4 linked regions of the Oreochromis niloticus genome follow. The protein of the gene in region 1 interacts with the protein of each later gene in a pairwise test. Links are inferred from orthologs where the notes say so. Each region holds a gene or a part of one and is shown on either strand. Other genes may lie near its edges.

Evidence for each region.
Region 2: the proteins of nif3l1 (region 1) and rabac1 interact in binary tests that used the Homo sapiens proteins (3 or more experiments, as listed by UniProt). The two-hybrid records come from large-scale screens. The link is inferred for Oreochromis niloticus from reciprocal best matches to the Homo sapiens genes NIF3L1 and RABAC1.
Region 3: the proteins of nif3l1 (region 1) and cyclin-dependent kinase 4 inhibitor C interact in binary tests that used the Homo sapiens proteins (3 or more experiments, as listed by UniProt). The two-hybrid records come from large-scale screens. The link is inferred for Oreochromis niloticus from reciprocal best matches to the Homo sapiens genes NIF3L1 and CDKN2C.
Region 4: the proteins of nif3l1 (region 1) and natd1 interact in binary tests that used the Homo sapiens proteins (3 or more experiments, as listed by UniProt). The two-hybrid records come from large-scale screens. The link is inferred for Oreochromis niloticus from reciprocal best matches to the Homo sapiens genes NIF3L1 and NATD1.

The regions. Positions count from the first base shown.
Region 1 is NC_031973.2:16,633,404-16,641,200, forward strand, and holds the start of nif3l1 (NIF3-like protein 1), read left to right. Parts: upstream 1-4,783; 5' UTR 4,784-4,883; exon of another isoform or gene 4,884-4,977; intron 4,978-5,969; 5' UTR 5,970-5,979; coding exon 5,980-6,565; intron 6,566-6,683; coding exon 6,684-6,840; intron 6,841-7,797. Other genes in the region: cabp5a (calcium-binding protein 5a), read left to right, coding at 58-88, 204-347, 489-598, 722-869, 956-984. UniProt on the Homo sapiens protein: May function as a transcriptional corepressor through its interaction with COPS2, negatively regulating the expression of genes involved in neuronal differentiation.
Region 2 is NC_031976.2:24,028,026-24,035,887, forward strand, and holds the start of rabac1 (prenylated Rab acceptor protein 1), read right to left. Parts: upstream 3,001-7,862; 5' UTR 2,847-3,000; intron 1,489-2,846; 5' UTR 1,466-1,488; coding exon 1,344-1,465; intron 1,186-1,343; coding exon 973-1,185; intron 867-972; coding exon 769-866; intron 315-768; coding exon 213-314; intron 1-212. Other genes in the region: dedd1 (death effector domain-containing 1), read left to right, coding at 5,517-5,988, 6,072-6,200, 6,706-6,846. UniProt on the Homo sapiens protein: General Rab protein regulator required for vesicle formation from the Golgi complex. May control vesicle docking and fusion by mediating the action of Rab GTPases to the SNARE complexes.
Region 3 is NC_031986.2:43,639,706-43,646,588, reverse strand, and holds the start of cyclin-dependent kinase 4 inhibitor C, read right to left. Parts: upstream 3,021-6,883; 5' UTR 2,883-3,020; coding exon 2,610-2,882; intron 1-2,609. UniProt on the Homo sapiens protein: Interacts strongly with CDK6, weakly with CDK4. Inhibits cell growth and proliferation with a correlated dependence on endogenous retinoblastoma protein RB.
Region 4 is NC_031969.2:14,164,992-14,171,979, forward strand, and holds the start of natd1 (protein NATD1), read right to left. Parts: upstream 3,001-6,988; 5' UTR 2,773-3,000; coding exon 2,673-2,772; intron 1,692-2,672; coding exon 1,573-1,691; intron 680-1,572; coding exon 563-679; 3' UTR 1-562. Other genes in the region: plectin, read left to right, coding at 4,836-4,855, 5,365-5,425, 6,704-6,988.

The sequences.
Region 1 (7,797 bases):
TTTCTTCTTAATGTTCATATTATACTGAAGTTAAGCAGTTATTATTTCTTTGTGCAGACAAGAGAGCTGGCTGATGATGAGATTGATGGTAATATTTTTTTGTTTTCTCATTTTTATGACTACGTCATTGGTTTTTACCTACATTTGTACACTTTGCACATTTCATTTTTTGATTTGATTTTTTTTACTTTAAACCTCTGCAGAGCTGCGTGATGCATTCAATGAGTTTGATAAAGACAAGGACGGACTGATCAGCTGTAAGGACTTGGGCAACCTGATGAGGACAATGGGTTATATGCCCACTGAGATGGAGCTGATCGAGCTGAGCCAAAATATCAACATGAACCGTGAGTCCTTAAAAAAGTGTTTGTTTAAAAGTTGAGTTTATTGAGGAATCCCATAGTTAGCGGCTGTTTTCATTGCTTTAATCTAGATTTGATGAGAGACAGAAAAGCCCACAGACATGTCAAACCTTTTTTCCCCTCTAGTCGGTGGCAGAGTCGACTTTGACGACTTTGTGGAGTTGATGGCCCCGAAACTGCTGGCAGAGACGTCTGGAATGATCGGTATGAAGGAGCTGAAAGATGCCTTCAAAGAGGTGAGATTGAAGAGCTTTTTCTGAAACTTTCCAGCTACCTGCCTTCTGGACTGCTAGATGGCGATCATTATCATCACAGCTGTGATTAAAAGCTGCTCTCTGCTGTTTGCTGCCTCTTGTTAGTTTGACATGGATGGAGATGGAGAGATCACAACAGAGGAGCTGCGATCAGCCATGATAAAGCTGATGGGAGAGCACATGAGCCGGAGGGAAATCGATGCCATAGTGAAAGAGGCCGATGACAACGGGGATGGCACAGTAGATTTTGAAGGTACAGACTGTCTTTTGCCTACATCAGTAAAGAGTAACAGTGCAGTGAAGTGAAGCAACTGATCCGCGTCTTCTTCTCCTTTGCAGAATTTGTCAGAATGATGTCCCATCAATGACAGTCCAGGACAAGGCCAGTCAGGAACATTCATTTGCACCTCTGCAAACACGCACTAACACTGATGCTGTTCTTTTCTGGGCTTGCAAAAACAACACAAACACAAGAAATGTTAAAATTACATGCTGGAAACAAGCAATATCAGACTGATCTCAGAGCGGATTTTATAGCTATGCAAATAATAACAATTTGTAATGATTTTTCAAATGTAAGAGTGCTAAAATAAAAAAACTCTGTTGTTATGTTTCATCATATATACCAGGGATGTCAAACTCATTTAGTTGATCCTTAGTGGGCAGTGGAAAGAAGTCTAAGTATATATTTAATCACTGAAATATCTTAATATAAGAAAAAGAAGTGCAAGTGTGTCTCAGTTTTTCCACATGATAAAGTAATGCTGCTGTGGTAAATGAAAGAAACCTCTCAGCGTGACTCTCTGGGCAAGATTGTGAGAAATAACTGTGTAAGTTTACAGAAAAAAATCAGAAAGTTCTTGTTACTTCACAGATAGTGTCCTTTTTTGTGGACTTATTGTAAAAAAATGAAACTTCTATAGTCAATAGTGAAAAAAAATGAAATTTTCTGTGTTTAATTGTTTCTCTATTACTTAATTACTTTGGTGTAGAATGAATGGGCACGAGGAAAGTCTTCATCAGCAGGAAAAAACTCCAAAACTTGTTACAATACATTGAAAAGTCCAAAAATGTATGCATATCTTCCAAAGGCATCTTGTGGACCAGATTGTAGTCTTTGCCAGGCCCACTCTGGCCCCTGGGCCTCATGTTTGACAACCCTGATATATACTGTATACAGTGGAAGTTTGTTGAATTGGAATTGTTTTTATATTTGTATTGTTATTGAATTATTCTTACCATTTAAACAATGTTACAACAAAGCAGGATGTAAAGTTAAGCTACTACTGTACTGTACATTATTAACCTGAGCTGGTTGTATTAGGTAATCTGTAACTAACTTCCAACAAGTGAAGCAGTAACATGGATCTGCCTTTCTTTGGCAAAGCACAAAATAAAACATCTGATCTGAACATCTGAAAAGGATTCAGGAGTATCTGTGGAACAAGAAAGTTCTCTGTGTCCGCCTGAAAGAAACCCACAGACACTTGACTCATTTAAGCGTAGACCATATTGTCCTTGTGACTTCTTGCATTCCAGTAATGTGCAGTCATTTCATGCCAGAAGGAAGTGATTTAAACATGAAAAAGTTTAGGGACTCTGTTCTACTAGGATTGAGTAAAAACTTTGGAAGGACAATAAGAAACTGTAACTGAAAAGAGGCAGAAATTTGGGATTTTGTGACTGATGCATAACAGATTTAAAGGTATTAAGAGCAAAAAAACCTCCCCCAAAACAAAAAAAGAGGTTCATGTCCCAGAATCTGTCCTTTTAGAGAGACAGTCTGAGCCATTATTTGAGGTTAATACTCTGTGTAAGTTGGGAACTTCACGGAAATATGGACATAAAACACAGAGAGGAGCTTAATAGTATTAAAGAGTATTATAACCCCATATCCATTAAAAAAAGAAAGGAAAAGAAAAGTTGAGTGAAATTTGTGGCACGTGAACACTTTCTTTTTTTTTTTTAACCTGTGGACTAAATCATTCTTGCAGTTGGTGATCAGTAATTGTGTCATACGGATCCAGAGCCAGCGCAGCTGGGATTAAATATTGGGGCTGAATTCAGGGATGTGCTACGGGACACACTGTACTGTCACATTTGGGGAACACCAGCCAGGCAGATGTTGCTGCATGACAAACTGGGCACAGCATCAAACAGACAGACAGATGGGGCATGAGGACTTATGCTGCCAATGAACAAAAGTGAACCTAATTACTAAACACACATCTGTGAGTGGTGCTCCACAGAGAGAGTGATCGCTCTGTCGGTATGCTTAATGGAAAAGTAACTAAATATCTCGTCTTTTATTACTATTAGTATTAATATTAATACTTTTATTTTGAAATGATTGTTCTTTTATGTGGATTGGGACTCAGAGAGACACTGAAACAAAAAAAGTGACATAGGAAAGATTTCACTGCTATTAATGGCACACTAATGTAAGTGAGGGTGTTTAAAGAGGAGGGTGGGGGGCACATTTAACCTTATGGATGTAGTGCCAAGCGAGGGCTGATGAGTCCAGAGGAAGAATCCGATGATGTAATGCTCACTGGCTGGCCTTTGCCCTGATCCTTCCTGATCCCTCTAACATCCAGCGTCAACCTTTATTGCATTAATCCTCAGTAATCTCTCTCTTGGTTGCTCTCAGACTCAATTCTGATGTAGCCTCTATACCCAGTGACTTCTTCTCAGCCAGACACATTAAAAAAACACAAAAAAACAAGCCTTACCATTTTAACTTATTGCACTGATAGCCCCTTCCCCAGGCAGATTTCATTTGGTTAGCTTTAATCTTTCTGAGAAGAGTCGGATGCACTGCGGGGTATCTGCTGCTGGAGCACCTGCCCTGTGAGAGTAAATACAGCTTATCAAAGTCATTCAGTTGTTGCTTGCTCACATTAATCTGTGAATTTGTTTTATAACATTGCGTACAGACAATATTGCATAACACCAGCGCTATAAACACCGAGAAGCTTGTTGTTGAAAAACACTAAGCCGAACCGTAACGACTTGAGAAATATTGTTTTTCTTAACTGTTTTTTTGGGATGCTCAAATGTTGTTATTTCATTATTCCACTGCTACAAATACTTCAACAAATCTGTTGCTATTTGCACTACCTTAACGGAAAAAGAAAGGACTGAGTGGGACAGGAGAAGTGAGTGATGAGGAAATTCTGTGCTTCTCAGTCTTACTGACGTCCGACCTGTAATAAAGAGATCAGTAAGCTGCTTCACCTTCAGCTAATTAACTTCCTCTTGGCCTCTGTTTGAAAAATGTGCACAAGTTTTGTTCCTTTAAATGAATACTGTAGCTAAACAGTGAGCCACTTGTGAATCTTTCAATGCGTCTGTTGTTTTCTTACTCTTTGGTGGCCAGCGTCATATTTTTTATGCTGTAGTGTACTGGGACAGCACAGCTGATTGACTCAATACGGTCTTAAGGAAATCCACTTCTGTCCTCTCAGTGCTGAGGAAACTTGTCAGCATAATGGACACAGCCTCTAATCTTGCATCAGAGTCACGCCAGAGCGCCTTCAGGTGTAGACTAATAAGACCTGGGGGTGAACTAAAGATGACACAGGAGGTCTTTTCTATCAGCGTCCAACAATCTGTGCAGCACTGAAACCAATTATAGAAGAGATGTACACAAATGCCAAACAGAGAAGGGGAGTAAAACTTACACCAGTTCCTCTTTCCAACAAAATCCAAACCAAACCAAATATATAACCAAATTTTCCCAAGCTGGAGTTCAACAAAGTCTTGATAATACTGTTTATTTTATTCATCGATGCAGATTCCTGAATATTAAAACCATCTTTCTCCAAATTTTATGAAGGATATGTGAAACTTTAAAAAGTCACAGAAAATGAACATTTACAAAGCTCTGTTTTTATTTTTTATTATTTATTTATTTCATTTGGGCTGAATTAATATCACTTGTAATTATGTTAATATTATTTATTCATTGTTATTCTCTATTTTCCTCTTTGTATTGTTGCTCATGCGCTCAGTCCTTCCTACATGTAAGTTGTAGTTTCTTTGTCGCTGGCGCAATGGCCAGTTTTGGGTAATAAATAAAAAACAAGAAAAAAGTATTACTAATTTATAATACTTACTTTGTAAGTTATATATATATGTGCTCATGGTCACGGCCAGAGACATAACTTGACCCCATCAATAAATAAATAAATTCATTCATTAAAGTAAAAAAAAAAAAAAGCTGCTGCGGACGGAAGCCGAAAAGGGACATCTTGCGAGTTCTGTAGTAAGTACATCCTCTGCCACTTCACCAGAATGTATTTAGCTAAAAACTGAAAACCATAGTGTTATTAGTTTTCATCCGTGAGAAACAAGCGACAGTAAGTTGAGTCGTGCACATATTGACATGCTGGTGTGGTGACGTTAAAGGACGGTTTACTGTGGCAGCTAATGGCAGCTAACTAGCTCTGCTGTTAGCTGCACGCTTTGCAGCTGTCACAACTCAAAGCAGCTGGTATTAAGTCTATGAATAATGTTTATAATAATCATAAAGTGCATGTGTGTGGCTTTTACTGAATGATTTGCTCCGGACTAAAAAAATGTACGCTTAAGAGTTGTAGCCGTCTGTTTGTATTTGTTTGCTAACTGTGTTTAACTTTGGATGGAGTCTGTAAGCGACGCAGAAACAACATCTGTATCCATGTGGAAATAGAAATGGAAAGGTGGAAATGCGTATAAAACCATACAAAACCGATCACTGGATTAAGTTACATTTTTTTCTTTTAAAAATGTCAGACATTCAGTGCATGTGAGATCTGAAGGCGTCAGTGTGAGCAGCACAGGCTGGGACTGAGAATAGACTCAGCATAGACAGGACATCTAATAATTTGATCAGGAAATCAGTAGAATCCTATGGAGGTATAGAGATTACAAAGAGGGACCACAGAGGGTTAAAGATGACACCATGAAGACATGAGAAAACGTTTTTGAAGCTAGATTAAGAAGAACACTGTGTGAACGATAGTAAGACAGGTGTGATAGTGAAGCTGCCAGGAGCAGAGGTATGTATGTGAAGGTAGATATATTAGACAAAAAATATTGAAGATGCAGCTGCCAGGCAGTAGGAGAAGAGGAAGACCACAGAGAAGACTCATGGATGTAGTGAAGGAGGTCATGCAGATGAGGATTTTAGAGCGAGGTGAGATGGAGGCAGATGATCCACTGTGGTGAACGCCTGAAGTGGACAGTGGAAAGAAGAAGAAGATGATAGCTCAGCAATTGTTAGTTTCAGCCTTGTACAAAAACCTGCCGTCACATATGAGTGAATGTCTGACATTTATGATTATTTAGTTATTTCTTTTTGTCCACACAGATCTCCCCTGATGTTGACTGGATGTAGAAATCTCTCTTGGACATTTTTCTCGCTCACCAGTAGAAGACTTTGGCCTAGACAGAGTTTTACGTCCCGAGCTGCTCTGTGCTCTTCTGCCTTTTCATCCGTCCTTCATTCTCTTTCTTCATCTACCCACAGTCATCACTTCCTGCCTAGCACACAAAGCTCAGCTCGCCTTCCTCCATCTTTTAATTTCTCCTCAGCTCATTCGTCCGGTCTGATGGAGTTAAAGGAAGTTCTGCAGGTTTTGGAGCAGCTTGCTCCACTGTCGCTTGCAGAGTCTTGGGATAATGTCGGCTTGCTGGTGGAGCCGAGCAAACCTCGGCCCGTTAAGACCATTCTTCTAACCAACGACCTCACAGATGCCGTCATGGAGGAAGCAGTGGCTGTGAGCTGCGATCTCATTATTTCGTATCACCCGCCGTTGTTTCGGCCAATCAAGCGTCTGGTTCAGAAAGACTGGAAGCAGCGGCTGGCTGTGCGGGCCGTGGAGGCTGGCATAGCGGTCTTTTCCCCTCACACTTCATGGGATTGCGTGAAAGGAGGCGTGAACGACTGGCTGGTTGGAGGACTTGGTGAGAAGTCTCTCTGAATGTAAAATGTGATGCTCGCACTTAAATCATTAGATATGAACATGATGCTTATTCACTGACCTTCATTTCATCCCCACTGCTTTTTTCTTTGTCGCATCAGGCAGCGGTCAGGTGTCGGTGTTGAGTCAGGTTCTCGGCGCCGCCTCCCACAGTCACAAACTGGAATTCACGGTCAGAAGCGCAGAGGAACTAAACATGATCATGGAGGAGCTGAAGGCTTGCGACAGTGGAACGACCCTACAGCATTCAGGCAGCAGGTTGTGTTCAGACATCACCGATTAGCAACAAGCTTTAAATTCAAGGACCATTTTGGTAGTTTTGTCATATATGTGTTACTTTTGTTTTATTTCTTCCAAACACGCATTATTGTAATTTGAGTTTAGCTTTAATCAAAGTTGGAAATCACCCACAGACACTTGAAGTCATCACAGGTAATCCAAAGCTGCTTTTGGACTATAACTATTACCAAAGATTTTTTTCAGTTTGCATTCGGACAACTTACAGAAACTTCAAATATATATATGTTATAAATTTTATTTCTTAGGGGTTGAAAGTAAGGCTGTGTTTAGCCCCTTTTCCCAACTAAAACTAAAATGTCATTATTAGGGTAAATATCAGGTAGTATGGCACTATGAACATGGATGCTTGAAGGCCTTAAAATAATTGGATATCCTATCACTGAAAGCATATTTCGAAGGCTGTAGAAACTGTAGAGGACTGATACTTTATTTACAGTTTCTCATGCATAAAGCACATAATATCCTTTTAAAACTAAGTCGGGTGAATAATTTCACACATACTAAAGTTTGAATATGGAAAAAGGAAAAAACAACAACATTTTGATCCAACTTCAGTGTGATTTTTCCCTATATAAGACACCATATTCCAAATCTAAATCTTTTTTTCTTGTTTTAGAAACAGCAAGTTTCTGTTAATAATATATCCAAACTTAATGATGGATTTCTCTTCTTCCTCCTTGCATATATTTGCAGATTTTTCTTTGTGTTTTTTTCCTCTTCTTTTTAAGCCTTGCTTTAACAGCTGTTGTTTACGTGGCTAATGTTTTACTGATGTTAATGTCACCTTTGTTTAGTGGTCGTTCGATTTATGTGTTTGACACTCACACCCGGACCAATCAGAATACACTTGCATCACTCAAAGTGGCTTTTAAGTTGGGGAAAGAAGCTTTTCTGTAGTTGTAAATCATGGATTAA
Region 2 (7,862 bases), on another chromosome or scaffold:
GGGAAAGTAACAAAGAAGAAGGTTTTTCTTACAAATGCATGAACAAGATTTAGGTTCCACTATTAGAGAGATGTTAGCATTGCAGACAGCAGTGGAATATGTTTAATTATATTTCCAAAATCAGAAAAACACAATAAGAATTATTGATATTTTTTTTTAAAACAAAGATTCAGAAGAGTAACATGGAAGAAGTATAATGTGGTTTGGCTTACCAAGAACCCAAAACACGGCAGCTCCAGCTCCGGCCAACCAGAACACAGGCAGAGAAACGGCTCCAGCCAGACTCATCTGGTGAGGCGTATTCAGCTCTCGGCCTGGTTCACATTAAAATTGAAGGTTTGAGAACACATAAATTATGACAGCAATTAAAGATTCCATAAAAATGAAGATGTTTTATTTTCCTTACATAAATTTAGCTTACTCTTCACTAAACTGACATCTTTAAAGGAGACCTTTTGTGGTTTAGTTACATTATTGCTACTGAGAACTGTAATAGTAGAGAACAACAATTTTGGGGAAAAAAAAAAATTATACAATAGATCGCTTCATTAATCCATTGATTTCATTTCTATACACAAAAAATTAAAGGTGGTAATAAATAAGTAAATAGATGAATAAAGATAGCCAACTTAAAATTTGATGTTTAATTATTCAAGCTAGGTTTATCTAAAAGCAGCTGCCCAAGAAACATTTATATTATTTGTCGGTGAATCAACAAGCAGGTATTTATGTGAAGGTGTCTGAGTTATTTGAGACACTTTTACTCACCAAGCACAACCAGTTTAGACTCCAAAGATTTGATGTGAATGATGTAAAAGGCACCGGCAAACACAGCCAAGGCGATCAGTAGCATGGGCGAGCTGATGCTGAAAAGAGGAAACATCAACAGTTCGATCATTTATTACTTTTTCCATTTCTCACTGGCCAAAACAGATTTATGAGCTCCTAACAAAGTCATGTTTTTGGGCTTACATGCAGTAGAGGATAAGCCCCAAGAAGATGAAGGTGTAGTTGCTGTTGTAAATTTCCACATTCTTCACCACCCTCTGGCACAAGTCTCCAAAGTTGCGGGGTTTTGAAAACTTGCGCTGGTCTACAAAACTGGCCCAAGGTCGAATGGACAATCGGCGCTTGTCGAACCACTCTTTAGCCATGCTAGCTGAGAAGCCTTTGGGAAGCCAGAGCCTACGAAATAAGATGAAGACATTACGTGCAAAATTTATACTATCACTTGGTGGCTCAGTAAGCTTACAATATTAGTAGCAGGTTTGACAGATGCAGAAGCACATGTCAGTTCTACTGTGTGATAAATCTGTGATAGACAAACACATTTTAACTCATACTTTGCCAGGATTCCTGTGCCTCCTGTGCCTGTGGGATGAGCATCCTCAGCTGTGAACAGATCTCCTGCCTTGCTGTCCATGTCCACTTGACAGTTCTCCCCCTTTGGCACTCCAGACGGCATGTACACAGTCTGCTGTGAGACAACTGCAAGGAAGAAAACACAGAATGTAAATACCAGTTGTAAAACATTTCCACCACTAATTCTCAAGTCCCTCTACAAGCAAATCTCCCCAATGGACAGAAATGTTGAAATGCCACCAGGCGCTTATCTAGGCAGTTATTTTGATTCATTATCAAATTTAAATTTTCATCAAAATGTAAAAACTTCAAGATTCAAAAAGACAAAAGATGAAAAAAAAACCCCACTACAAGCAAACTGACTTGGTCTCAAGATAATATCGAAAGAAAAAAAAAAAAAGCTTTCTTCCCCTACACAACAACACTGGTGGACAAAGTAAGACTCATATAGGTTTACATTTAGGGTTCATACTTTTGCTGTCAATGCCTTTCATTTTTTGTTATTCCTGAGAAGCTCATTAAAAAAAGTATTTTAAGCTTGACTATAATAAACCTCAATTAGCAAAAGAGATTAAATTTATTTGAGGGGTGCCAATTTGTTTTTATATACACACAAAAAACTGCTATGCAATTTTACACATACTTATGATGTTGACTCCCATTAGACATTTATATTTAGCAGCATAAGTTGTTTTAAACCATCATATTATAACACCAAAATCTGGGCATGAAACTCGGTAGAAGTAAGACAGAACACATGTGACTGAAAGTGAGGCAGACGTAACAGTGAAGCCGGAAGGAGTGGAGGCTCAGAGCTCAGAGAAGGTTCATGGATGTGGTGAAGGATATAATCAGTGAGATGGAGGGAAATGATCTGCTGTGGTTACCCCTAAAGAGAACAGTCAAAAGGAGAAGAAGGGCGCCGTGATGGCACCACTTAATTGATTCCCTCTCTTTGTTTATCTCCAGATAAATTCTTAACTAAGGTATTTATACATAGATCAGCCAGTGTATGAAGTTCGTGACCAACACCAGTTTTTATATTCCTGCATTTCTCAATCCTGTCATTCCCAGAGGTTGAAGAAACAACACTCAAAAGACCGAGCTTAGCAACAGTAGGCAGAGGAAAATGTTCGTCAGCAAGAGGGCTTGGTCAATGCCACATCACTAAACTTACGCCCGGATATTCCACAACACAATTTCCAGCGAATACTCACTTATTTTATTTTTAATCAGTTAAGTATCCTAACTGAATGGCATTTCTAAACCCCGGTATATAGTCCATCATATCTCCCAGTTGTTCTTAATAGCTCTTGGTTGTACAAATACTGTCGCAGTTAGCTTCTCTGCTAACAACCACTCCAGCCGAAGCGGATTTATGATTTTATCGTACCCCAACTTTACACACCTAATTAAAATGAACCGAAATAAAAATGAACGATATCAACTGCCAAATTTACAATGGTTTAATTACATATACTCACAGCAGGAGATGAGTTTAACGGGACTGCCTCAGACCTTTTGTTGCTGTTTTAGTTTACGGATATGATGTGGCTCTTAGTTGCCTTCCTTGTTGTTGTTCCTAGCTGCCTTGGTTCCAAACACCGCCACCTACTGACAGCATCCAGCAGTTTTCCCTCTCCTATGTTTGGGTGTAGCCTGCAGCAGTACATATATTCTTGTGATTATATGCTTATGGACACTTCGCAGCAAAGCTCGCTTAAAGTGCTGCTTTGTTTTTTGTTTTGTTTTTTCACGTCGAAGCTAAGACAAAAAAAGTAAAATTTAAAAAAGGGGGAGGGGGCGCCCTTGAATCAGCTGTCTTTACTGACTTGCTCAATACTACAAAGTGACTGTTTAGGAAAAACTGTCTTCAGATCAGTTCAAAAGAAGACTGGCAGATCAGCGAGAGCAAAAACGTGACTGGGCGTCGCCGTGGAAGTCAGAGGGCTGTGATTGGTCAATTCCTCCGCGTTGACGTAGTGCAGAACTGCACGTTGCTGTGGAAGTTACTAGATCATTCAGCCCACTCGGAGGTGAGTCCCCCCTAGTTACTTTGGCTTTCTTGAATATTATCGCGTTAAAATGCTTTGAATATTTATCTATTGGTGCATTTTTTCACGCTTTCATGTATGTGACCCAATGCTCGTCGATACTACAGCCAATTTATATTTGAAGTAAGTTAACGTTAGGAGCTAGCAAGCGATATCCATTTCTGTCCTTTGTATGTATCGCTAATGCATACAGAGGAAAAAAAATATTTTTTAATCGTATAGTTAATCCTATGTGTTTCAGTACGTATTTAGCAATGTAGCACACCTGTTAATTTCAGGTTTGTTATTTGGCTAAACCGCTTTTTGCATTGCACTTCTTGATGTTTGTTATGCTTTTTCCACAGACAAACGTGACTGGTTACATAACTTGTCAAAGGGGAAAATTTTGCTTCACCGGTTGTTACTGGGCGTCTGAAGAACGGCTACTATCTTTGGCTTCCAACTGGTTAGTGTGTGTTACTGAACCTGAATGGAAACAAAGTGGTTATAAGGGGGTCCTCCGTTACGTGTTTAAAAAAATGTTTCGAATTGAGGGTGAAAATGGCAAGGACTGCTGAGCTAGCTGATGCAGCCATATAATGGTTGTAGACTAGAGAACGGGCGTAACGCTGCAGTATTACGCCAACATGATCATTGACTGTGTTACATAGCACAAACGGCCTGCTGGGTTTTATAGATAAATACAGTTTATATGTAGCTACACGGGATTTGTCTGACCGTTTTGTTGGAGCAGCGTTTTATAGCTTAAACAGACACAGATGACATTTTTAGTGCTACGTATGTAATGCAATAAAAGTAGGAGTATAGAACATGGAAGAAACTCGAGGTCAAACCTGTTAAATGAGAATTGCAGCCTTTACAGGAACGCTAAGTACAATCCATTATGTGTACATAGATTACAGGGTTTTTCCTAGCTCAGAACAGGCCTTTAGGGGAGGGTGACTATGCACATACGGACAATTTGATCCACTAATTGTTAAAGAAAACCTGACTCTACATGAATTTTTCTGTTATGTTTGGCCACGTCCTTTAGTAAATATATTATAGTCTTTAGTTAATTAACTCCACCTTCAGTAACCTTGTTTAAAAAGTAATTTTTTTAGATGTGCAAAAAAAAAAATCCCAATATATTACTGTACACTGGGTGGGGCTCACTATCTTTTACATTTGATGATTGATGCTGGCGTTTTTACCTTTTCCCCCCTATACTTTAAATCCAAAAGTTTCTCATACAAAATAAGTCCATACTTTTCAGTTGAAACATTTTATTTCGTTGCTGTTTAATGTTGTTGTATACAAACACTGATGGTCATTTTCACAGCTGAGGCAGCTGGCGGTGTGTAAAATGTTGTTGTGCTATTATTGGCAATTTATTAGATAATAATATTTTGGACATATCATCACTCATAAGGTGTTTGCTTGCCGCAAATGACCAGCTGAAAAGTTAAAATGTCAACAAATGCAGTGAAAACAGCCCTGTTTATCTGACATCTTGTCCAGCTACCTAGTTATTACCTGAAGAAGATGTCAATGTCTCACTAAAAGCTTTGTCATCCATTGGTTCGATTTCTTATACTTTGGCTACAGTTGCGCTAGAGTTAAAGCTGCAGGACCTCTGGTGAATTTGGCTTTCAGGCTAGAAAATATGGCACACTCTTCAGCTTTAGATCTATTTTTGTTTGACCAGGTGTAAATGCAGATTAGATGTGTTGCTTTGGACTTTGCGCTACAAGTGTCAGAGAGAGTTTTGAAACATGTAACCACACCTGAAAATGCTTTCAGCATTCCACCACTACCATTGCCCTGTCATTTGTTCCTCTTCAGTTGTAGCAGGATTGACACTTACTTTCTTTCTTTCACTAACCCAGATTTTTTTCTGGTACCAGAATTTGGTGCTGATTAACAGTAGCACTGACATTTTTTGGTCAGTTCCCTCAAAAGTACCAGCTCAGTACCTAACCCTACTTATCTGGTTTATATGGTTAGTCGGATGTATCTTGTTAGACATTAAAAACCTTTAATAGTAATTGTTTTTGTATTTGTTTTTGTAGTCTTATCACTGGCTGAAAAGTGGGAAAGGTCCATAACCAAATCCTGACCATGGCTGCAGTGCATCATCAAGGGTACCCGCTCAGGGATTCACTGTACTGGGATGAAACAGAGTGCCTCAACTACTATGGGATGTTGTCTCTCCATGAAGTCTTTGAAGTAGTTGGTTCTCAGCTGACAGAGACTGACATTGAAGTCCTGTCATTCCTTCTGAATGAAACTTGCTCCGCAACACATCCTCTCGATCCAGCAGGCTGGACAGTTGAACCCCGTGAGGACAATCCAGATGATCCAGGTGTGGCCCCAAGTCCACAGCTGCTAAAAGCATGGCAGCGATTAAAGCCTACGGTGTCACAGCAGCCCTTTTTGGATCCAAAACCCAAGAGTGGCCTTGAGCTGTTGCTACAGCTCGAGAGGAGAGGATACCTTAGTGATGGAAACCTGGCACCACTACTGCAACTTCTAAGAGTCCTTACCCGTCATGACCTGCTACCCTTAGTGTCCCACAAGAAAAGGAGGACAGGTGAGGATCTTGAGATTATGTCCTGCTGTAGTTGATCTCAAATAGTTTGCCATTATGTGTTGTGTGTTTTTTATGCTTTTCAGTTTCTCCAGAGAGAATTGTACAGAGGTATGAGATAGAAAGCACGGAGTCGGTGTGTACTTCTGGAATAAGTAGCAGCTGCAGGGAGACAGAAACTCCTCTTACATCTTTCGCACATCAATTAGAAACTGGTAAGTTTACTGCTCTTTAGTATTTGGCCAACCCGAAGTACGGTCTTAAGTGTTTTCAAGCTGATTAATGATGATTTGAAAACGTGTGTGTGTGTGTGTGTGCCAGATTTTTTTGTGGTTCAGAGTTGGCCTTCTTTGCCCTGATTGACTCTGCTTATATGCAAAATGTGTCCCTCTACCATTAAGGCAATGAAGCTGCTACTTTTTTTCCCCACATAAATCGGTGCCTTTTGTGCATTTCTGACTATTATTATATGTCAGTGATTATTACCCTAATTAAAATAATAATATTTAAAAATAATTTTTGGTGGTTAAAACTTTTTTTTTGGTCGGTGTGTTGTGTGGGGAAGAACATTGTGTACACACCATGATCTTAACAGGAATTTTTCTTGTTGAAAGTTGTGATCAAATATGAGCAGTAAAATTTGGATGAAAAGCTATAAATAGTCCTTTGCAGTTCTTTTTGTCTTGGACTCCTGAACTTAGTCAATATGTTTTGTTTCAGGTATTTACACTCCTGTGGCTGGGCCATGTGCAAGTAGGCGGAGGAAGAAGAGGGGAAATGGCTGGAGCCGTAAGTCCAAGAAAACAAGCAGGGAAAGTCTGCCTCTGCCTCCACCACCAGCGCCACAAAAAGTGTCCTGTGGTAAGTGCAACTCATGCATTCTCGAAGTGTCTTTCTTTTATTTATTTATTTTTATTTTTTTGGTTTTTCTCTTGTCTTCTGTGGTACCTTCATCTTGCTATTTACCCCTGCTGCTCATTTTTCCTTCTTTAAACAGACGAGAATATAATTTTCAGCCTATTAACACCTCCCTGGCATCATCATATTTCCTGTTTAGTTTCGTCAATTCTGATGTTGTTTATCTATGCTAAATCTGGAATGCCAAAATTTTATTAAAAAAATTTTTTTTCGTTGTCACACCAAAATGCATAAAAACACCAAGTTCATGCTTAAGAACATTAGTGTTTAAAAGCTAGCATACAGTTTGACATGTTATTTATAGACTTAGGAGAAATGGACAAGTTAAATAGCAGTAGGGATGGGAATTGATAAGAATTTAGTGATTCCGATTTCTTTATCGATTTTGCTTATTGATTCGGTTCCTTATCGATTTCTCATTGCCTCCACTTTGAGAGTCGCCAGCACCTCTAAGCAGCATATCAAATACATGCAAATTAATTACGTATGTAATTAACTACGTGGTGAAATGTTTGTGCGTGTTGGAGGCATTTCCCCTCTTTGTTGTGATCAGTGTTGGGGTCACTACTCAAAAAAATAAATGTAAAAAGTTGTTGCACATATTACACAGAACACTTTTCTTAAAAGTAATGCAGTACGTTATTTAATTACTCCCAGGAGAAAGACATTTGTTATACTACTTGTTACATTACTTTAATGTTACTCTGTAAAATGATCTAAAACTCACTGTCTCATACTCACCTCTTAACAATACAGCCTCACACACTAACACAAATCCTAATGAGGACAAATGTGATCTTTCTCTTAGTATTTAGGTATGAACACAAAGCTGACAATGTAAGTCAAAGATACAAAACCATCACCCAGAGACTTTAAAGCGATCATCTTGGTGATTCCACTGTAGAAACATAAACGGGTAGAAACGGAGATTAACGATTCGAAGGAAGTAGACAACTGGC
Region 3 (6,883 bases), on another chromosome or scaffold:
CAGACAGGTAAGGACTGAGTTATACTGCCAGAGTGAAAGTAATGGGACAGATGGGTGAGAAACATGTCAGCATGTATGAATTTCCAAAAATATTTTGCATAATTATGAACTCGCGAGCACACGATATGTTGGATGAGCGGCCAACGAGGAGGAGCTTTCTCTCTGAGTGGACCGTTCTACTGCAGGCCTGCACGCAATATGATCGTTCATATTAAACCTCGTGTGTCACTCAGACAGTGCATGAGCAAAAAAATAAATAAAAACAAGCACGCTTAAAATCAGATCCAAGCAGGACACGGGCTGATAATCTGGCAAACCGGGCATTTTTCACGCTGGGCCCACGCATTTTGGGGCCGCTGCAGGCCTTACAAGCACTGACAGCAGCCCATTGGCTCATTTTCACGAGACTGGATTTCCTACTTAAATCTCTCCGCTGCCTCCGCTAAAAACAGGCCTTCTAGTCACGGGAAACTGCTCCTGCTAGCATATGATTATTTGACTTTCTGAACAGGTTTGCTCTTAATGGTAACTCTTGCTCTTAATCAATCAATCAATCAATCAATCAATCAATCAATCAATCAATCAATTAAAACAGATATTTATGGATTTCAAAATCTTGTTTGGTTTTCAAATGTACTTTTTTCAGTGATATCTTTAATAGCAGGAAATTAACTAAGCATAGAATTCTTTTCTTCTTTTTTCAATATTTTTCAAGTAACCTATATTTGACAAAAGCATAAAGAATGGAAATTCTGTTTTTGGTGCGATACCCAATTTTTTTTTTATTTTTTTATTGGTATTATTTATCTGGAGGCGCCCTCGCTAAAGTGAGGAAGAGAGGAAGGAGGTAGATGGATAGATGGAGGATTATTAAAACCTGTTTCAATCAATTTAAAAAAAAAGGAAGAAATGTGTGAATACAATATGGATTATTGTAATACTGATACTTAATTGTCACATGTGATATTGATTTTGCATTTGATAACTAAAGCACAAAACCAAGAGAAAGGAAAGTTTATCTACAGAGAAATAAAGAGGACTACAGCAGGCAGCTCAGGATATAGCAGCCCTCCTTTGTCTAGATTGAGCAGTAAGGAAGGTGAAAGTGTAACATGACATGCAGAGTGACACTGTTTTCTTTTTCTTTTTTGCCTTTTCTTGAGATAAATGTAGAAGCAGCAAATGCAAAGTACCAACCTCTCTGTGTAAATGGATGCGTTTGTAGAATTCTGTTGATTTTTGATCTGACAGACATCTGCATTAGCGTGTTGGTGTTTAAATAAATAAATAAATAGCATATAAGAACAGAACAGAACAGAATAGGCTTTTATTCTCATTGTACATGGAATAAAAATAGAAATAGTAGGACACCAAGAATAAATGACAGACAAGAGGAGGACGGCACGCAATAGAGGACAAGATAAGCAAGTAAAAGCTTTTCTACTGTGGGCAACTTATTTATTAATTATAAGCACTTATGCCCCCCCCCCCCAATGACTGTGCATAGTTATCTATGGTTTAATATTCAACTGAGTATAAAATAAAAGTGAGAGTTCATACATGAAACTTGGATGGAAGCTGACCACATAATGTGCAGAACTTCTGGTTGTTTTCTGTACAAATGGGCGCGCCCTTTGTCTGTCTGCCTCATGCTTCATCAGTGTGCTTTCTTTTCTGTGCCCTACTTTATGATGAAATGTAGCTGCTACTTAAAGAGTTTTCACTAAAACAAACAAAAACAAAAATCAGACTAAGACTTTTTCTCCCAAACATGGTGTTGGATAGACACAAAGGATCTGTTCAGACCTCTGCCCACAGCCATAAACCACTAATTACTTATTCTTTATTTTCCGCTTCTTGTAAAATTAAGAGACTTGAACAATTTATATATTTTGTCCTAAAGCAAAAAACGTACATCTGAATAAATCCAGGTTATTTTTAACAGCTAATACCCTCACCCACCATTTCCTTAACACCACCATTTTGTTGCTCCTTAACTCCACTGACAATTTCAGACTTTAATCTTGCTTCGTATTTGCTGATTTCTCTTAATTACAATAATATGAACACGAGTTTATTCTTTACTTCATGTGATACAAAAAAACCTACAACTCTCTCTGAGTCAAGTACAAAATCTGCATTTGAAAAATAAATTGTGAAACTAAGGAAGTGATAAAAGAACATCTTATTACTCCATAAAACACACTCATACACACATATGTATTTATATTAACATATACATTTATTCAAATCTGATAGTAAATCATGAATTTCAGCACAGCTTTTTAGACTTTTGGTAAACTGTTTATCTTTTTCACTACACTTAAATCTATTTTGGAGAGTCCAAACTTATAACTGCCACACGCAGATTTCTGCACTTCAAAAAATATTTACATCGATCTGAGACGATTGTATTTAGTATAATGATGACATTATCGAAGCTGGTGGATATTTGAAGAGTACATGTGAGGAGGCCTCGGCCTCTAACACAAAGCACTAAAACAAGGAAGTAAATCAAGCTGCTAGCAAGCAAAACAGACTGAAATCATCCAAATATGTTTAAAATCACTTCGGAAAAAAAGCCAGTTCAAAAGGTTTTTATTACTTACCTGTATTGCAGTCCTATTAAACACATTTTTTCCATTTACATCAGCTCCGTTTTGCAGTAGAGTTATGATTTCTAATAGATTTCCAGTTGCACAGGCATTGCAGAGCTGGTCAGAGAGACTCATATCAGGTGTCCCTTTAAAACGCAATACAAAGCAAGCAAACTTATCACCTAAATACTTCAGCAGGCTGTGTTTAAGACTGAAATAATCCAGGATGGTGGACTGGCCAAATACAGAGAAATCTGAAACATGTCCCTCCCACCCTTGCATCATCCTTGGCTTAACCTGTGCAGCTCTTGAGCTGTTACTGAAAAATCATTGTTAATGCAGTAAGCTAGCCTATTGATAATTAGTTAGATGGTAATATATATGCTTTGTTTTGGTTTTTACTGCAAATATTTTAGTGAGCAATCAGTAATTTCTCAAATCTCTTTCTTCAGTCATGTCTTTTCTTAGTTTTGTGTTTCCAATTCTAAAAAAAAAGAAAAGCCAACAAACAAACAGACAAAAGCAAAGCAAATAAAACAATGTAGGGGGTATAAGACAGGTTTAGATTATATGCATCATGTATTTTACATAAGGACTGGGCACCTAATGATATATTTGTAAAATTCAATAGAATCAGTTTAGGGGTCACTCATCAAAAACAAGATGTGCAATAAATCTCCAGCTCTACTGTGTGTCAGAATCAACACTGATTACATGTTTAAAGCTTCTATTTGAGCATGTTATGCTTGTCCAGCAGCAAAATATATGCTGCCTCTCCCACCCTTCCCGAGATACTGATATACTCCATGTAGGTCATAATTAGAATATTCAAAGAAAATAATTTTGCCTATTTTTTCCTGCTCCCCTGCTGATTTTCCTGTGTGCAGATATTTTGTTGATGTCATGTTTGGGCCTGTTTATGGGAAAAGCTCCATGGAACCTTTTCACAATATCTATATGTCAGGTATACAGTAACCCACCTGCAGCCTGAAAAAACGCAATCAAAGCCAGAATTGTGACAATGATGTCTGAATGACAAAAAGTAAGCACAAAACACAACATAATTAAATAGATAAATATAAAAACTTACGTTAAATGAAATAAAAACCATAGCACGCCTTCCTCCTGCTGTTCAGTGCGTGGCATCGCATTTTCCAAACGACTCGAGCTGAAAATCCCCCCGAAAAACAGCCAAAAAAGAAAAGAAAAGAAAGAAAAAAATAAAATGTCGCCTCCACGCATGATTTCAAGCATGTGATGCATTTACTGGCAGTTCCCGCTCGTTTTCAAAAGTAATTCGAGTTTGTATTTCCGTTTTTTTTAACGGGTTACAGGATGAAAGAGGGAAGGAGACACGGAGATGACTTTCGTTAGAAATATCGCGCAGTCACCGTAAGGCGAGCCTCCTCTCCGTTTAAAAAAAAACCTCTCGGATGAATCCAGAGCTCGTGAACATCAACGACAGACGTTCTTTCCAAAGAGACGGCCTGATTGGACGGTTCCTCATTGGCTCATAGGCGGGACGGTTAACGGAACTTCATAAGACGGTAATAATGGTGGTGCCTTCATTCATTGTCCATGTGAATGTTTTGAAACGTCAACGCGCTGGCGCAGACGATGCGCGCCTTTTATTATTACATTACAGATACGGAGCAAGAAGTCTTTTTTTGTAACGTCACGGCCGGTGTGCTTTTAGTTTCTTTTTCTTTGCCGCCCTCTCGTGTAACAAGATGTGCATCTCCGATCACCTCATTTGGTGGGACAGTTATTGCGGACTTTTCACGCAGAGAATTCACGCGCAGTGGATATTTTCTTTTTTTCGGACTAGTCTCTGTAAATCCCAGAGATGCGTGTTTCTGAGGGGAATCCCAGCGGATCAGCTGCTTTTGAAATACTCAGACCAGCCCGTCCGGCACCAACAATCACGACGCGTTCAAAGTGACTTTAATCGCCTTTCTTACTCATTCTGATGCTCAGACGTCAGCAGGTCGGGTTATGTCAGGTCATGTAGACATAACCCGGCTATGTCTACATGGATAAATGCACGGAGTTGCTGCCGTTTGAGATGCCATTAGATTTTTGACTGAAGGAGAGGTTGAGCAGATGTACCTAATGAAGTGGCCGGTGAGTGTGTTTGAACAAATCTCGCAGAAAGCATAAACTTATTATACAAGTAAAGCATTGTACTTGTGAAATTAGCATTATGGTCTCTTCAAACTGGCAAACCAGCTGCCTGATGTGTACATTTTGCTGTTAGCAAGCTAAATATTATAAATTATTATAAATATTATAGTGTCTCCTTCTTTACATTAAAGTCATTCCCAAGTACTTGAAAATGTTCTTTGGGGTCATTCTTATGAGCAGGGGATACAATTGTTAATTTGTTAATTAGTTAATAAACTCGTCTGAAGCAGGTTAAGAACCTTGTTCCCTGCTACATAGTGAAGCAGAGCATTTACAACCTTCCCTCTAGCCACGATGCACATTCCCTTAAGAAAAAAAATGCTAAGGTTTTAGATTTAAAGCTTCAGTTACCTTCAACGTTTTTTTTCTCCATAGAAGGGACATCTCACATGACTTCTTTTACCCTTCAGGTAGAGAAAAGTAAAATATAATTAAAGCTACAGATGCACCTAGTTTATTCTGGGTCACGTTTTGGCATGATAATCCTTTGATACTATAAATGACACAAATTTTTTAGCCTATTTTGCACATTTGTGTATCCAAGGTGTCATTGCAATAAATAAAAGTAATAAAACTTGCAGTTCATTTTTTGTTTTGCTTTCTTCTCACAGGTTTGCACTGGAATCGACAATACTCCAGAGGCAATCACTCTGTTAGAGTTCATGAACTGGGATTTAGTGGTAAGTTCATTATTTGCAGGCTTTACTCTGGGGCATGCACACTGCGATGCTGCTCCCCCAGAAGCTACAGCAAAGTACACTACGCTCGCGTCAGCCTACTGAAAGTTTTGCTTTACATATTAAAGCTTCCTGCTCGTCTCCTTTGTGTATACACCGACTCACGGTGGTCTTCCAGTTCATCCTGTTGTCCAACTTGATGCCCAGGTACTGCTAGTACCCCACATCACATCAACATCACATCAACATCACCATGTCTCTGGCCTATTCACATCTGGGATTTCTCCCATACCTCTCCACAAAATCCAACACATCTGTGCTGTACTCCTGCTCCCGCTCATCTCTGATGTATTTGTGTAGTTCCAAGTCTGAGGCATACAAGGCGAACGGGAATGGAGACATCACCAAATGGCCGAATCACACTTAAGAAATCAAAGAAGCTTAGCAGCTGTTACTGTCTAGATGGAAGTATAACCTCTCTGCAGCATGTAGACGAATGCATCAGCCACTCCCAGATTTGGTTTGTCATGCAAACTGAAGATTGTGGCGAGATGTGCTGTGTCAGTTGTTTTAAGTGTTTTAGGGCTGAAAGGAATGCCCGGCTTCAGTGTAGTTCATTTGTCCAGAAGTTCTGACTATGCAAATCTGACGGGAAACTGTAGCCAGGCACACCCACAGCAACTGGAAGTTACAGTTAAGACAAAGAGTCTTGTTCATAACTGCTCCGGCTATGTTTAGTCCCAGTGACTGCCAAAACAGTTTCCAGCTGTTTGCAAACAAGTAATGTGAGACATTCGAAAACCTACACAGACTTTAGTCAGATTCAAAGACAGTGCCTACACGGTTCACTGAATGCCAGCTATAATGTGTTCAGTGATGATGATTGTGCTCTTCATGCTTTTTAATTGTTTCTTGAAGTGTGAAAAGAAATATCTGATATAGATTTAGATTCAAAGAATGAGCATTTATTTAATATCTGACATTAGAGCCACACACAAAAACAACATGCTAGATGACTTTATTTTGCAGTCAACAAAACTACAAAGGAGATGGTTGTTACATTTTTCTTTTCTGTTCTCTTTGGTTCTGTCACTCTTCTTCTTCTTTTGTGGGTGTTTCCAATTTCCACTTTTAGATATCAACCAGTAGGAAGCTTTTACAATATGGTGTGTTTAAATTGTAAATGGAATAGTTTGTGTAAAGTGTTTTTAAGAAAAATATGTCACTGAAGAGTCTGTGTGGCTTCTTTTTTTGGAATTTAGTCAGTGTTGGTTTCCTGAATGAAGAATATGAATTGTAAATGCCGGCAAAGCCGCTTTACCTTGCGCCTTTATTTTGAAGAGTACCTTAGCACTTCCTCTTTTATTGTGTCACACTTCCTGTTCTGCTCTCAGTGAAACCACACAAACACATTGCTTCAGAGTG
Region 4 (6,988 bases), on another chromosome or scaffold:
AGAAGAAGGGGTTAAATTGAATTATTTGCAAAGAATAGGAAAAAAAATGAAAAAGAGAGGTTGCAATTTACATAAAACAAAAAAGACACGAGTATTTGAGCATCAGTGGAGTCAAAGACAAAAACACCAGGGGTGGTCACCTCGTACTGCTGCTCATGACCAGTGAGTCCAGTTGAGGACAGAAATCTGCAACACACTGTAACATTTGACTCAAATCTGCTCTGTCAGTGTTGGGTCCTGGAAGTTTCTGTCTGAGGTAACAGGCTTCACCTTTGGTTGCTTTGTTTGTACAAGTCGTGATAGGCTGATTCCCCTCCTGCCTGTGGCCAGTGTGTATCCTCATGTTTATGCAGAGAGCTGTCTTATCGGTTGATCAAACGTTCAGCTCACAGGCGTCTATGGTTCGAGATTCAGCTATTTCTCTGGATTCAGTCAGTGTTGTGTTTAACCATGCCTAGAAGGTCCTTTGTCGCGTGTTCTCCTGTAACTCCAAAGCATGCCGCCACGCAGTATTTCTCTCCTTGGAGTCCATTTTGCCACCTTCCTTCACCGCCATGCAGGATCATTGGTAAATATGTTCAAAGTATTGAGGCTGAGGATTCTCTTTCACGTATTTCTGAATGTACCAGCAGGTCAGGTGAGCTTTCAGGTCCTCTTCCACCACAAAATCCATGGCTGCCTGCAATGACATGGTGCATAACAGCTCACATCAAAATCATCTGGCTTTTCCTAGGACAATGATTTAAGTGGAAACATATTCGATTCTCACTGTACCAGCTTAATATACCGGCCACTTTGTATGGTACACTTTTTCAGCTGCTCATAAATGCAAATATCTAATCAGCTAATCACATGGCAGAACCTCAAAAAGGAATGTAAACATGATCAAGGAAACCTCCTGAAATTCAAACCGCGCATGAGAATAGAGAAGAAAGGTTGATTTAAGAGACTCTGAATGTTCCTGGTGTCAAATGAGCTGATCTGAGATTTTCAAAAACAAGCTGATCTATGGGGATTTTCCCACACAGCCATCTTATGGGTTTACAGAGAATGGCAATAATCTAAGAGAAACTGGCTTGTGAGGAGAATGCACAGACTGTTTTAAGCTGAGCAGAAGACAATAGTTACAACTTAGATAACCAGTAATTAAAACTCAAGTATGAAGAAGACCGTCTCTGAATTAAGAACACGTCAAACCTTGAAGGAGAAGCGCTACAGCAGCAGAAGACCACACTACGTGCCACTGCTATCAGATAAGAACAGGAAACTGACGCTACTATTTGCACGGGCTCACAAAACTGGACAACAGAAGATTAGTAAAACATTGATGGTCTGATGAGAGTCTTAATCTCTGATGTGATATTGAGAAGGTAGGGTCAGAATTTTGTGTAAACATTATGAAAGGATGGCTCCGCCCTGCTTTACGTCAACAATTCAGCCTGATAGTGGTTTGATGGTGTAGAGGATATTTTCTTGGCACACTTTTGGCACCTTAATACCAACTGAGCATTGCCAGAGCCTACCTAAGCATTGTTTCGTAAACAAACACAAAATTTGGGTTTAAAAAATTACTTTGGCAAGGTGTTTGGCGATTCCTCTCCCTCTATAAGCATCTGGAACTTCGGTGTGCTGCAGGTCCACCGTCTTTTTTCCAACATACTCGTACAGAAGGACCGCACGATCATGGGATCCTAAGAGCAAACACAAATATTATCTCTGGCATAGGTTGGTCTTCACCTCAACTATTGCTAAGATTTACTAATTATCGATTACAAACATGACATAACAACCTGACAACATGACCAAAAAAAACAAACAAAGAACAGAAACCGCAGAAGCCTGCCACCCTGCACACTACAAGTTTTATCCCACAATTACTTCAACGTTTCAGCATTTTAAAGCTGACTCTAAGCGCCCCAGTTACATTATTAAGGTGTGGTAGCAGATTTTAATTTGCATGTAGCGCTGCAACATGGCTGCTGAGAAAGACAAGGCACGAGTGGCCAGGTACAGGCATGCCCTTGTGGAGGAAGGGTCGTGTTGCTGGGTGAAGAAAAGATAAACATCTCCATTCAGCACAACAATGGCTTCCACCATTTTCCTCTTAACAGCTGACCCACAACTGACCAGGACAAACACGAGTACTGACACACTTAAAACAGTAATATTAGTGTGTCGTAAAGGATTAATATCTATTAAAACGAAGGAGACTTAGTGTAAAACTTTAAAATATGTTTAAAGCACTTGAGCTGAACGCTTGAAAGGAAGTAGCACAGCACATTTGGAGGCCTGGCAAATAAAATGGTTACTCTGGAAAGTTGAAATGGTGTTTGAATCTTAATATAACAGTAGGGGCAGGTATTTTGCTACAAAGGAGTTTTACTTGGAAGATTAATACAGGAATTTGTGTATTTGGGATTGTGTGCTTTTCAAATTTGAATACTTGGTTTGAGGTCTGGAGGCCAAATACTTTGGTCTAGCCCCAAAGAAAGAAAAGTAAAGCACCGGTAATGGAGGTAAGGTCAGAAGACAAGCTACGTCTATATGTGAGCAGCCATCTGTGTCTGAAATGGCAGCTGTAGGTATCAATAAAGGAGCAACGACGACGTTAGCAAGAGCGAAAGCTAACACTAGCATCAGCTGGCACGCTAATGTTTACATGTTGAACTCACCATTCAGCCTTATGACAAACTGCCGACGCTTCTTATCGTGTTCCACCCGGATTGGAGAGTTGTTTGCATCAAAGGCATTAGCCTGTGCCGCCTGTGCCATAGTAGCGCCGTTAAAAAGTCACAACAATGACTGCTACGCTACCCTACGGGATTGCTAACCAGAAATGGCTACAAAAGCAAAACACTTCATCCAACGAAATCAGCTGTGAGGTCACGTGACGCGCGGCCAATCGCAGGCGTCGTCTTCAGAGAGGCGAAAACAGAGCGGCTTTGTAAGAAAACTCCCCTCGAGAACTCTAAACGCCTGCTGAGAAACGATAAAACCAACTGTCTGACTCCGAACGCAAACGTTTCATATGCTGCATTCACGTGACGTGGGATCATAAACAGTTATGTCTGTTAAAGACCTGTTAAAGTGGGTCTTATAAAAAGAACTTGCTGTCATGCTTACACGGTTTCGTTTGTACCTTTTCTGCTCATTTTGTATTTTTTTTTTTTTTACAATCCCTGTGAATGATTATATTTTTGCTACTTTATTTCTTTATTATTATTTTAAAATAAATTTTAAGAGAATTGAAATGTAAGTTTTGTTGTTTAATTCTGGTAGGAATAGGTATAGTATAAAGTATCTAAACACAATCGCTATAAATATTGATCGGTTCATCTGTCAATTTAAACTGATAAATGATCGGCCCTGTCCCTAACATCTTCATCTGTCACACCAACCCTCTGCATGCCCTCATTCATGGATGAGGTCTCTGAGGTCTTTTCTTTTCCTCCTCCGCCCACTATCCCTCCCCTGCACATGTCCAGAACAGCTCAGCCTTGCCTCTCTAGCTTTGTGTCCAAACCGCTCGGCCTGAACTGTCCCTCTCATATACTCATTTCTAATCCTGTTCATCTTGTCCCTCCTAGTCAGTGCCAACATCTCCAAACCACACATCATAGCTACACTAACACCTTAAATCACCCCTGACACTTGTCTCCACCCACTCCGCCTTGGCCTGCACTCTCTTCTTCACCTCTCTTATGCACTGTCTGTTGCTTTGGATGCCTGATCACAGGTATTTAAGCTCATCCACCTTCACCACCTCTGCTCCCTCCAGCTTCACTATTACACCTGTCTACCTTTCATTCACACACGTATTCTGTCTTGCTTCTACTGACTTTCATTTCTCTTCTCTCCAGTACAGAGAAAACAGGTTTGTAAAAGTGTATCAGAATTGCATATTCAATATCATATATATTACACTGTTGTGGTTGTAGCTCCTAAACTTGATTGGAACAGCCTTTCTCAGGTCAGCTGCATCTGTGATTTGTTTTAAACAGCTGCTGAAACTCTGAAGTGTGCATGTAGGAATTAATGTAAGAGCTTGTGTTTCACAATATGTTTGTACACTCATCTTAAATGTGTGATTTTATGCAAACTGTGAAGCACAAGCTGTTTTTAAAAAGGTGCCGTACAAATAAAGATATTATTATTATTATAACTGTATCACAGTTACACCTTTCCCCCTGTACGACTAATTTATGGCACTTTAGCTTTCATTTCATGGTGTGATATTTTAAAATATGTTTATTAACAGATATAGAATTTGTCCTTAAGAGGGAAATGGCACATTTGCACACAAGAAGGGATTTTATCCAGACAAGTGTTGTGTCTGAGAAATTGCTCTTGATAGCTCAGGTCAGGTCACAGCTCAGGGATTCGCAGTGGCAGGCGCGTCTTCAGCACGTCAAGCGTACAGTCAGCGGACAATAACCCAGGACACAAACTGAGCGTGTGTGTTTTTCTCCACTATACTCTTGTGCTCATGTGAGAGGAATACTTGACAGACATCAGGAGTAGGCTATAAGGACAATGTAAGCCAATACATTAACTTCACTAAAATTACTGTGTAGTAATCCAGTTAAGCTGTCGACCTAATCCTGCAAAACTCTAATGGAGTTTGCCAACTCGCTGTGGGATTACGTGTGTGTGTGCATGTGGTGTGTTTCTCTGGGACTCTGTGGTACAGACCTGTATGTGATTTGCTCTCTCTCTCTCTCGTGATCTTGCCAGAGTAAAACAGAGCTCACATCTACCAGACAGATCACAATGTGAGCCAAAAGTTCTCGCGTTTAGTTAGTCTCTGTCAGGGTGTTAACCTTGTATGACTGAAAATGATGTCCAAGAAGCCAAGGTAGGTACCTATTTACTTATTTATTACATTAAAACAAGTCGATATGAAGACAGGTATAAACTAAATGTACCTTATACTACAGTTCTAATTTTTGGCTTTTTTTCTCAGTTAAAATAAAAACTTCAGCAGACTTTCATTATGCCTGTTAACCTCATCAAATCAAACCTAGTTTGATGTTTGCTGTTTACTTGGTATGTTATGTCTTCATGAATAAAAGTATCTGCACAGGTTATCATTTTGACCAGCAGCAGTCATCACTGGCTGTATGCTGTTGGGTTTATTTCACAAGCCTTACAGCTCTCTTATAAGTAAAGTATGATATCAGTGCAACTGTTGCAAAACTAGTAATATGAAAAAGAAAGGTAGTATCTTTGTATAGAAGTAAAGAGATAGATCATCTCTTTAACTGTAACCAAATAAAGCAATAACATTAAATAAGTGTTTCGGGAAAGTGCAGATTGCCTGTTGCCAGGATTTATGTGAAGCTGCCTTAATCTTATCTATCGCAGGTGGCAGGAGACCCTGATGAACACTAAGACTAACAATCCCACACACAAGAAAGGGGGAAAGGTAAGTGCTAACGGACAGGTTTAAAACTCACAGTAAGACCGTTTAGTGTTGCTTTTATAGATGTAATTACAGGGATTATTATATGTTAAAATATGTTTACAGATTATAATCCAACAAGTCATTTACAAACATCTAAATATTGTAATTAGGTTTGACGGGACACTGGTCTCATCCTTTTTAAACCCTTCCTTACATACCTTACATCAGGGGTTATCAAACCTTAGGCCTGGGGGCTAGAAGTGTCCCGGCAAATACTCGAATCCAGTCCACTGGATGTTTTTGGAAAATGTTAAGGAGCACATAAATTTTGGACTTTTAACTGTATATCCATGAATTTTACAATCTGTCTTACTGATAAAGACTCCCCCACGGCCATTCACACTACACCAAAGTAATTAGGTAATAGCTAAACAATGAAATTGTAGAAAAGTTCCTGTGTTTTTCACTATCTACAATCGAATTTTTTAAAAATGTGTTCACTGTAAAATAAATAAATCTAATAAGAAATTTTCTGTGAATTACCAAAATGTTTTGTTTTAAAATTACAGGGCAGTCTTGACAACAAGCTAGCAGAATGTTTTCTGTAATTGTAACATTTATTTCTTACGATTTAAGCCCAAGGAGTCGTGCTAACAGATGTATTTCATTACCTACAGCAACATTTCTTTATCATGTAAAAAAACCCGAGCCGTTCTGTTGCAAGTGCGCCTCTTTTTTGTTCTATTTAGATAACCCAGACTGTGTAACCACGGACAGTTCCCTCAGACTGAGTGCATGTTTTTTGTTTTTTGTGAGATTTTCACGCATTTGATTTTGATTTATGTAGCCATTAATGGCTAAAGATCAACGTGGTGCAGTTAAGACCTGCACATATCGCCAAGTCAGGACTTAGTCGAGCATCTTCTAATTGATTTCTCTGTCGTGAGGTCCAGCCGCAGATTCATTACCTCTGCAGTTAGTGAGGTTGCATCTACTGAGACTGGAATAGACCGCCTAGATTTGCTGGCTCTCCCAGTGTGCTCAAGTGTGATTAAGTTTACAGCTTGTGTGTGTGTGTTCATGGTTGCAGTGTCGTCAGATGGTTCTTAAGCAAATTAAAAGCTCCGATCAGGATTAAATGGCCCTCTTCATTGTGTGTGTCAAAGAGGGGAAGTTAGGATGGGAGGGTGAACATGAGATATAAGTGAAAAACATGCAGAACTTCATCATTTTGTGATTGATTTCTCCTCACACAACCACTGAAGCTCTGTTTTCTCTCTCTATCACACACTTACGTAGGACCTCACATCACTACCAGCACTTGGAGGGAAGCAGGCCGGCAGCAGTGTTTCTAAAGCCCGTGTCAGCAGCGGACGGAGCAGCAGCCTGTGCAGAGGCAGCGACTTGACTGCAGCTGTTAGTAAAGTTGGTGGGAGTTTGAAAAGAGGCAGCCTCAGCCACCAGGGCTCTGCTGGCCACCCGGCTGCCAGACAAGCTTCCCACACAGCGAGAGCAGGTCCCCGCCTCTGCAGCAGCCGAAGCTTTTCATCCCTCCACACCACCTCCCTCTCTGCTGTTCCCTTC